Drosophila melanogaster: one gene and its partner. The protein of the gene in region 2 binds, or shares a complex with, the protein of the main gene of each other region. Each region holds a gene or a part of one and is shown on either strand. Other genes may lie near its edges. A codon is read from its position in the direction of its gene.

Region 1 (5,058 bases), on a different chromosome or scaffold from region 2:
TCCTCTTCCTCCTCATCGAACATATTTAATACGTAAAGTTTTGAAATTTATGACCCTATCCTATATATATGATTTGTTTAATATTGTACATTTATTGTAAATATTCTGACAAGCAAAGCTTACAATTTTGGATGCTAATAAATAAATTTTATTTAAATTATAATGATCCCTTTGTACTTTTTTTTTGGAATCTAGTAAATCGGGTAATTGCCAATGGTAATTCTTCCATGTAAGTAAATCTAGGATTTAGCTTGATCCAAGTGTACTTCTCTTGTCCGAAAATCCTGTAATTACTTTTAGACCTTTTATTTGATTTAAACCCTTTACTAAAAACTGGATTGATATTAAACGACCTTAGCCTGCCTTTTAATAGCATTCGACTAACTTTCCTTACCAAATCCCCAATAGTTAATGTTAATACTTCTCAGCACCAAAACCCACAAAGTGAACGAGCCTTTTTTTTATAGACCAGTCATTTCAGTTATCTTAAGAGCGCATTTAAAAATTGAATTGCTTTCCATTTATTTAATACAATTTTGATTTCTGAAATAGTTCATCTGTTTTTATTGATTCCACGATTTAGACTCTATTTCAGATACTAGCGTTACACAGGGCATATCCGTTTTATTTGCTAACGTTGCCCTCCTCGTTCGCAGAATTATTCAGATCACTGTTGTTGCAAGTATCGCCAACGGATGCGCCAACGTTTGCGACATAAAGGGCGGGGTCTATGACCTTCGGAATAGGCTTTATTTCGGTTCCAAGTTCTTTTTCAATCCGATGCAGATCAAACCGATCCTCGTAGGTTATCAGATTAATAGCAATACCTTAAAATGAGAAACGAAGATTGTAAATAGGCTAAACTATAATATGAGAATGCAATTAAACTCACCCAAATGACCGAAACGTCCTGAGCGACCAATTCGATGCAAGTATGTCTCTGCCATTCGTGGGAAATCGAAATTGATTACTACATTCACGGCCTGCACGTCGATACCACGGGTGAACAGGTCGGAGCACACCAGATTGCGACAGAGTCCTTGGCGGAAATCGTGGAATACTCGATTTCTGTGTGCCTGGGCCATCTTAGCGTGTATATAGTAACAGCAATATCCAAGCTCTGTGATCTTTTTGGCCAATAGCTCGACACGTTGCGTGGAATTGCAGAATATGATAGACTGATTGATCTGCAGCTTCGAAAAGAGCGTATTCAAGCAGTGTACTTTCTGGCGCTCCTGTACGAATGCATAGTACTGAGTGACACCCTTCAGTGTTAGCTCCTCCATCAGGTTGATCTCGTAAGGCTCGCGTAAATGCTTCTCCATGAAATTCTTGACTGTTAGTGGAAATGTTGCGGAAAATAGCAAGATCTGTGGATCCTTTGGTAACTTTAGTATAACATGATCCAGCATGCCTTGAAAATCAAGCGACAATAGCTTATCGGCCTCATCCAAAACTAATATTCTGCAATGCGACATATCGGCAACTTTCTTATCCATCAGATCTAATATTCGTCCGGGAGTGGCAATAATTAATTGTACTGCAGGCGTAGGGAAAATTTAGAAAGTTGCAATTAAACCGATATTAGGTTATTTAACTATCATCAAAACCCACCTTTTTGATAAATACGAAGAATGTCATCCTTTAGAATGGTACCTCCCGTTGTGACCATTACCCGGATATCAAGATGTTTCGCCAGCTCAATACATATCTGTGAGGTTTGTAGCGCCAACTCTCGGGTGGGGACCATCACAAGTGCCTGAATGTAGTCCTTGGTTGGGTCGATTTGTTCTAAAACTGGGATGCAGTAGGCTCCTGTCTTGCCTGTGCCGTTCTTGGCCCGAGCCAGCACATCTTTTCCACTTAATGCTATAGGAATAGCTGCTTCCTGAATTGGCGAAGGGCGCTCCCATCCCTTCTCGAATATACCCATAAGCAGTTCTCTTTTAAGGCAAAACTCCTCGAATTCATTGCCTCGCGTATCGGTCACATCCTGAGTAAGGCAATGGCAATACATTTATTTGTTAGTTTGTTTGTGCTTTAAATTGTATAAATTCCGATTGATTTGTCGGCAAACTCACAGTTGTTTTGAATCGGTTGTCCTTTGGCGGCAGCTTCAGCTTTGATTTCCAGCCCATATCGTCACTTGTGTTTCCAGCAATTTGAAGATCATTTATAATCCTGGATGAAAAGAAAAAAAATAAAATGGTAATTAAAGTATTACGATATATGTAGGTCATTCACATCCATATATATATGGATGGCATATATAAGCATATATATATATTAAAAATTTTTGATTTTTAAAATTTTGTAAATGAGTTCTTTTATGTAAAGTGCATTTTAAGCTAAAGTCTAAGCCATGTATTAATGTATATTAATAATAATGTTAATATTGATTTTAAATCGTAAACAAAGATGGATAATGTCTTGAATATTTAAGAACTGAACAATCTAAAAGCGATTGAACTCAACATTTTTTCTCTTTCGCACATTTATGGAGGAGAGAAAAAGAAACGCTACTCCAAATTTTAAAATGGCAGCCCACGAATAACTGTTCATGGCGCTGAAATGCAAAAAAAAAATACCTGTTTTGTTCTGATCTCAAAAGTTGAGAATCACCCAATAGAAGTTTTACCTAAATACAGTGTTAGTTTCTAAATGATTTAAGTCAGTGCAATTATATTTAGCAACATTTTTAGCGGTAAATAAGTCCACGAGTGCAACTACATATGTAGATAACTCTTTTATACATATGTACACATGTTCCGCTACTACATACAATAAAGTAATATAAATACGGGAATCACATTGTTTGGTTTTTTTCATTAGATAACATGTTCTGCAGGTTTAGTTGTTGAGTGAAAACAGCCTAACTACATGATGTTGCTAAAATACAGATCTTCGGCTTTTACATGCTCAATCATTTGCAAAAATTGACGTTCTAAACTATAAAACGGCTTGTCTTTTCGGCATCTAATCATAAATATGGGCTGATGAATACGCATGCATATTATGTTTGTTGGGACACCAAGCTTGGGTCCTCTTGTGAAAAAAAAAATATAAATAAATATAAAATATACAAACCCCTTGCTTGTTAAATTAGTGTGCCCAGAATTTAACTTTTCAGTCATCATTATTCACAGTGAAATTTTAGTTTAGTTTGTTTAAAAAATGTATTTCGCTCTCTTTTGCTTTCGGCTGACTAATGAAGTCACTGTATTCACCGATTTTCATATACTGCTCACGTATTCAACTTTGCGTTTCAATATAAAATTTCACTTAGCTTCAAAATAGTCGAGTCGCCTTACAACATGCTATCAATAATACAAATTTCTGATGACTCGGAAAATATTTTCACTCGGTGTAGATAATAAATATGTATTGCCCTGATTTGGAACGTTGGAATGAAACAAATTTTGCAAGTTCAAAATGACGAACAATAATATTGTAGAAATTTATACATGGCTTAACAAAAACAAATGAACGTTTTAAAATTAGTCCACATATTTAGGCAAGAATTATTTTATTTAAAAAAAATCGGCATTTAAATTTTCCTCTTATAAATCCTGTAGGTGTATATGTATACCCAAATATTTCACATTTTTGTTGTGTTAGCTGCTGTTGCCGTTATTTTAAATTTAAATTAATTTAGAAAAGCATTTCCAATGAGCAACTCCACTCCGGCCGGGTTAAAATCACCGTTTAATTATAACAAAAACAATATATGAACTGCATTTCAGATGAAGCAGCTGCCTGTGTGAACGGGACTTAGGAACGACAGGAAGATTTCGAACGTGTATGAAAGAAGAACATCTGAGTTAAGCTTTAATTTGATTGTCTGCGATTTTTATGAATATCTTTTCATTTATAATTTATAAGTATTAAATATTTAATGAAAGATCACATTAGAAACTAACTAATAACATTAAAATGAATAAAAATTATTTTTTTGATTTTTCTTTTCTTAACCAATGGATTTATACTTTATTTATACTTATTCCGATTGGAGAATGACAAAATTAATATATTTGTATTAGAATAAATAAATAGTACTTGCGATAGAGGAGATTTGTATATTATAAAAATGACATTTATGTTTGCGATTTTAGTTTGTGTCATGAAAGAATATATGGAAAAAAGTCAGCTAATAACTAGACTTAAGTTAATTGAAAAGATAAATACTTGCGTATCGTTGACATTTTCCAGGTGATTTATGGTGCGTAGAGTACTTAGACGATTAAAGGATCCATTGCTTACCTCACCCACCTCTGTACATAAGTGTGTATGGATGTGTGTATCTGTGTACCTTATCAATTTCCCCTTAATGAGCTTTGCACAATGTTAACACGAGCAGTCGCATTTGTCTTGCCGTCAGAAGCTAGTGTACAAAGTCATCAATTGAATTGTGTAGATAGATAGATATGTGTTAGAACCACAAAGTACCTACATAAATATGCGGCCATTTGGGTGTATTGATACCATCCGTGAGCACCCCCAGCATGCTAAGTGTTAGGCACTCCATGGGGCATAACTTATTTGTATAGGCTTACGAGAATCCATAAATGTATTGCCTATATACGTCGAGCTATGTCCGTCTGTGTGCGGGCCAAATGTTTACCCATAAACATTCGCATTTGCTCGCGAAGGAATCGCGAAGACTTCAGTTCAGTTCGTTAAATCCGGCAACTGCATGCGGTTCGAAGTGTATATGGTCCGATAACGATTCCTCAATGATAAGATATGAAAAGTCCGTTCTAAGAAAAGATACAAACATTACACAAGCTCGCAAATCGGTCATTGGGTATAATAGACGAGCCGTAAACAATGAACATCGGACTAAGTTTAGTGTGCCTGATTTTAAGTGGCATTTCAAAAGTGCTCGCCGTTCAGTTATGCTGTGCCGCGAATTCGTTACTATTCAAATATCGCCGCACTGTGGACAATGCGGAAATATACCAGTGCGCTTCCGCCGCAAGCAACATCAGTGAACTTCCGGATCTTGCCCAAGTGATAGGCAAATTGATACCACCAATGGGCCTTGGATTAGAAAAGGCT
Region 2 (4,801 bases):
CTGGATCAGACAGGTCTTTACTTTTCGGTCTTTTTACATCGTCATAGGAGTCTAAGCTTTTGGTTTTTAAAGTATTATGCGAACTTTTGATAGGTTTTAGATCAGTATCTCCATGAAAGGCTCCACTAGCATCAAAACTGCCACCCAATTTCGATGGATTTTCAATTGCCCATTCGGGTAGATTTTCGTCGGCATCAACACCGGCTGCATTATTAACAGTCCATAATTGAGATATTTTAGAACTCGACAACCGTGGGTGCGATATGCTCCCTACTCCCTCTGCAGCTCCGATTCCAGATCCTTTATTGTTTCCAGTCCGATCTGTACTTAAAGTCGCAACTGTTGAAATTGAGCGTTGTAAACTAGCTGCATTGTCGACGCTAGGATCTTCATCACGCCAGCTTGTAGATCTTCCTAAAAAAAATTTTTTTTTAAGTTCTATACTGTTGTTCAATAACTTGGACTATTTAAATTTTAACTTGGTTCATCTTCTTAGCAAATATAGCAAACTTACTAAACAGAAAACCGCTATAGTCGAGCTATTGCAAAACTGTTACCCATTTAGTTAGATACTAGAAATGCAAGCGATATTCAGATATACAAGTAGGAAAGCAAATATGTCAGTGATTGTACACCTGATCCACATAGCGGCAGAACACTAACTCTTAATCACTAAGCACGACAAAAATTTTATAAATACATTATATATACAATTTATTATAGTATCCAAACTTCGATAGAAGATTACCGGGTGAAGAAGTACATTTTAATAAAGCGTAAAGCGTATCAAAGTGTAAAAAGTATATTTGGTTACGTTGTTATGTATAGGCAAGCCCATATTTGAATAGTTTGAACTGTTAGTTAGTTGGACTTTGATACATAACACTTAAAATGGGCTCGCGTTTTTTTATTTTTCAATTTTGATAAATCAAGTCTATTCTGGAAAAAAAAAGATCATTATTTGAAAACGTACTAAAGCTACCAGCGATGTACTTTAGGAATGAAATAAAAACAAGGCCTGATGCATTGCATAGAAATTACCATAGGGATTTCAGCTGGTCTATTAGCATTTTTGTTTAAATATTCTCATATAAAATACTTCATTAACTAAAACATTTAATCTTAATTTTAATATATTTATGAAAAGGTTTTTTAGAATACGTTTTAAAGAAACACAAACTTTACAACAGATTGTAGCATGAATGGTATCGAATGAATAGCCAACTATATAGGCTGGGGAAAGTTTTGGAAAGTCAAATTTACATGATAGAGATAGCAGTACATGTATTATTGTGCTCATATGTGTAGGAGTAAAAATGAAAAATAATAATATAAAGGTAATTGACTGACCCCACCGATGGCTATTGGTACCAAAACCTGCGTTTGTACTTCCACCGACGACACCGCTCCGCCAACCAGCAATATCGGGTCCGCTCATGGAACCGCTGGAGGATGGACCATCACCGGATCCATCTTCGTTACGTGTTCGTCGCCAGTTTTCCAAGTTGCGATGATTATTAGAATAATCTTTTCGAGGACTTGAGCTTGGAGTTCCATTCCAATCTAGAGCACCAGAGCCACTAGTGGAGGTGGTGGTTGCCGCAGAATCTCCAGTTCCGTTGCGGTCGCTCCATGTGCGTTCGGCCTGGCAGAAAAAATCAACAACTAATCGTACTTCCTTATTTAGTTCGTATTTGCAATTACCTTTGATATAACCGATAAGCTTTCATCATATAGACCGCTTGGGCGTTGGTATATCGGATGATAGGCCGATTTTCCGCGCATCCGTCCCCGGTCAACGGTTCCACCACGTCCAGAGCCTCGGGAGGCACTACCAAATCCACTGGGCGAGCGCTGCAACCAGGCAGGACGAGACTAGTTTCAAAGAAAAGTAAATTATGTTCTAAAACTCATGTCAAATTACTTCACATACGTTATTGCCAAGTGAGTTTTGGTTGATGTCCTCCTCGGAGCTCGGTGTCAGTGCAAGAGGGCACTGAACCTTTTCCACGAAGAGCTTTTTGAACGATGGCAGGATCTGCGGCAGTAGGCAGTTCCGATCGAACAAGGACAGCATTTCCTCGCGTCCGTACCGGTATTCTGGAAATAGATTACGGGAAGCGGATGCCGCCGTGTTGTTTCCCAGGTTGTGCCCTCCAATCGAATTGTTTTGAGCTGCATTACCAACGTTGTAGGTACTGGGAGAGCCCGAAGGCTCGGCTGACATATTGCGCAACCATTCCGGGCCAAATTTCATTGAATCTGTCATTTTTATTTGCCTCTTGTTTAATGTTATGCTGACAATAAGTTCAAAAAAGTTTTTGGTTGATTTATTTGTAAGAAAGGCAATGAAATCAAATTTTCAGTGTTTTTGTTAAACTCCTAATGGCTTTATGATTCTGTGCACAATTGTTTATTTTTCAAACAGTTCAAGTTCTATAAATAAAGCAAACAGCTTCAAGTCTTTTTCAAAGCAAACAGTACAACAAAGGATTTATTTTAAAGCTTAGTTAAGAACTAGTGATAAAAAAAAACTTACCAGAGCTTTACAGAATGGATAGTAAAAGTAAAATAATATAATATAAAAGCAACACAGAAACCTAACCTAAAATATCAAACTGATTGTCACACACGAACGCGAAATACACATGCACCCTCATCACACATTAAAATTAACATGTTTATAGAATTGAAATGTCTGATTCGAGCTTTCATGTTTGAAATATAGAACTAATAGAACTAATATAGATCTAAAAGGTAAAAAAAATTCGTAAGTATCTGGACGCATACAGACACACAGTGATGTATGTACAAATTTTTGATTTGTGTGACTTTATCACACTGGGCGGGTGTGTTTTATTTTAAAGATTGTTTAGTTAATTCTTCTGGTAATCTTAATAAAATCAAGCCACTATAACTGCACATCCTAAAAAAATTTTTTAAATTGAATTTCGTAAAAATATTCAACTTACACGTACCACCGAGATATCTTAAAATACCAACGCCAACATAAGATAGAGCAAGGCCAGCGTGGCCGTCTTGCGATATGTCAAGCTTCCAATTTAATTTAGCACAGGGGTATTCTTGCCACTTTTGCTTCTTATACACTAGCTCCACTACTACTAGTTGACAGATACATCACCCTTGTCTTCACATTGCAACATCAAGCACCGGGATTTAGAGAATGCATAAGTGTCAATCTTTAAATCAACCAATCCGTCTGTCTGTAAGAACGTCTCGCTTTCAGGAACTATAAGAACTAGAACTTAAAGCATGCTGATTCTATAGATATAGACGCAGACGATGTTTCCACGACCACTAACTATGTGTTGATTTTTTTCTTTAAGTTGAGTAACGGGAATTCTTGCTTTAATATTATTATTTAATTATTATCACTGCCAAAGCTAGATTCCTACCTTGTTGTTAGCTTTGTATTGAAACTTAGTCTTTCGGAATTGTTAATAATTTTATATTTAACAAGCAGTCGATTTTCATTTCAAGTTCAAGTTTTTCAGTATTATAACATAACAGTAGAAATAGTAAAGTGTAAGTAAACGATGTATTAGTTTATTTTGAATAAATATATAAATACAAATGTATATATTTAAATATATATATATATATATATATATAGTAGTGGATATATATATTTATATATATATATATAAATTTTAATATGGTTACATTATTTTCATAACCGTTTTCATAACCACGTTTGTCTGGTTTGATCCAAAATGAATACCTGGTTTGTGATTATTTTGGTCTTTTTACATAAGTCATGAAGTGAGGGGTATGTGTCAAAAATTTGCTGCGATGTATACGCACCCCTTTTGTCTTTTGTATAACTGTCTGTTCGTACGTATGAACGCCCAGATATTGGAAACGAAAATCGCCAATGGTGCATGTGATTTGTCTGAAAACGATATGACGCCCATAACGCTGATGCCCATGTTCTGAAGGATTTTCGGATACCTTAATCGTATAACAGCGAAGCTCGAGCGATCTTAATCTTTACCACGTTTCGAGGCAGTGAGTACATCTGAAATTTTGGCACTGTTCCCAGATCGGGCGCTTAACGCATCGCTTATAATGCTTTTAATTTAGCGTAAGGGTCATTTCAAAATGTAAACCAAAAACGCAGACTTCGTAACGAGACCTAAAGTCAGTTGCACCCGTTCTGAGCGTTCCTGCGTGTGGGGGAAAAAATATCATTGCAACAGCAGGATCTCAGCCTGCTCCAAGTTAGGAGTATGAGAAGGAATGGCGAGCAGTAGGCGAGGCTTCTCGTTATCTCGGCAAGGATGAAAACGGCTTCTAAGGCAGTTAAACTTTATACATATAATCTCCTACAGTACGTCGTTAACCAACGTGGAAAGGCCTTCAACACAGTTACAACGACAGGGTGAGTGCATAATATGTAAGCCTGATGTTGGTTCCCATTAAGTGCAAGATAAAGACAAATAAATATATATTAAATTTGAACCTCATAAGTAACAATGGGACGGTTATCCAGATTAGAGTTGATTGAATCCCCATATAATTCTATGGTTTAAGCTAAATTTCTGAACTATTAATTTTGTTAAGAAAATAGTGAAGTTCGGCACGCTGAAGTCGCCATGATACAAAAAAGATAAATATATTAAGAATGGAAGTAGTTATTTAATTTAGCTTTATTGTGCTATAATATTAGATCATGGACTAGAATTATAAGATTACTAGTATGCCTCCAGAAATCGAATGATATGCATATGGTGTAGGTGTTAAAAATATTTAAATAAACATGAATTTTGAATTTTTAAAC

What was found. Proteins that work in one complex are often made in the same cells at the same time.
Region 1: the proteins of Gyf (region 2) and me31B are in contact, whole or in part, in a crystal structure (PDB 6S8R), measured with the Drosophila melanogaster proteins. Residues at the interface, in NP_001162827.1 of Drosophila melanogaster: Glu344, Asn345, Pro347, Glu348, Trp349, Ala350, Ile351, Glu352, Pro354, Ser355, Lys356, Leu357, Gly358, Gly359, Ser360, Phe361, Asp362, Ala363, Ser364, Gly365, Ala366, Phe367, Gly369; in NP_523533.2 of Drosophila melanogaster: Tyr274 (codon at 1,250), Ala275 (codon at 1,247), Phe276 (codon at 1,244), Val277 (codon at 1,241), Glu279 (codon at 1,235), Arg280 (codon at 1,232), Gln281 (codon at 1,229), Lys282 (codon at 1,226), Val283 (codon at 1,223), His284 (codon at 1,220), Cys285 (codon at 1,217), Thr288 (codon at 1,208), Leu289 (codon at 1,205), Ser304 (codon at 1,160), Thr305 (codon at 1,157), Gln306 (codon at 1,154), Arg307 (codon at 1,151), Leu310 (codon at 1,142), Leu311 (codon at 1,139), Lys314 (codon at 1,130), Glu317 (codon at 1,121), Leu318 (codon at 1,118), Phe370 (codon at 962), Pro420 (codon at 747), Ile421 (codon at 744), Lys423 (codon at 738).

What each region holds. Positions count from the first base shown.
Region 1 is NT_033779.5:10,237,615-10,242,672, reverse strand, and holds me31B (maternal expression at 31B), read right to left. Parts: upstream 3,333-5,058; 5' UTR 3,138-3,332; coding exon 3,088-3,137; intron 2,735-3,087; exon of another isoform or gene 2,589-2,734; intron 2,182-2,588; coding exon 2,082-2,181; intron 1,994-2,081; coding exon 1,615-1,993; intron 1,541-1,614; coding exon 893-1,540; intron 828-892; coding exon 625-827; 3' UTR 501-624; downstream 1-500. Other genes in the region: chico, read left to right, coding at 1-36; mthl15 (methuselah-like 15), read left to right, coding at 4,828-5,058. UniProt on the Drosophila melanogaster protein: ATP-dependent RNA helicase which is a core component of a variety of ribonucleoprotein complexes (RNPs) that play critical roles in translational repression and mRNA decapping during embryogenesis, oogenesis, neurogenesis and neurotransmission.
Region 2 is NC_004353.4:863,998-868,798, forward strand, and holds the start of Gyf (gigyf), read right to left. Parts: upstream 3,029-4,801; 5' UTR 2,979-3,028; exon of another isoform or gene 2,973-2,978; intron 2,298-2,972; 5' UTR 2,270-2,297; coding exon 1,934-2,269; intron 1,876-1,933; coding exon 1,705-1,875; intron 1,646-1,704; coding exon 1,351-1,645; intron 415-1,350; coding exon 1-414.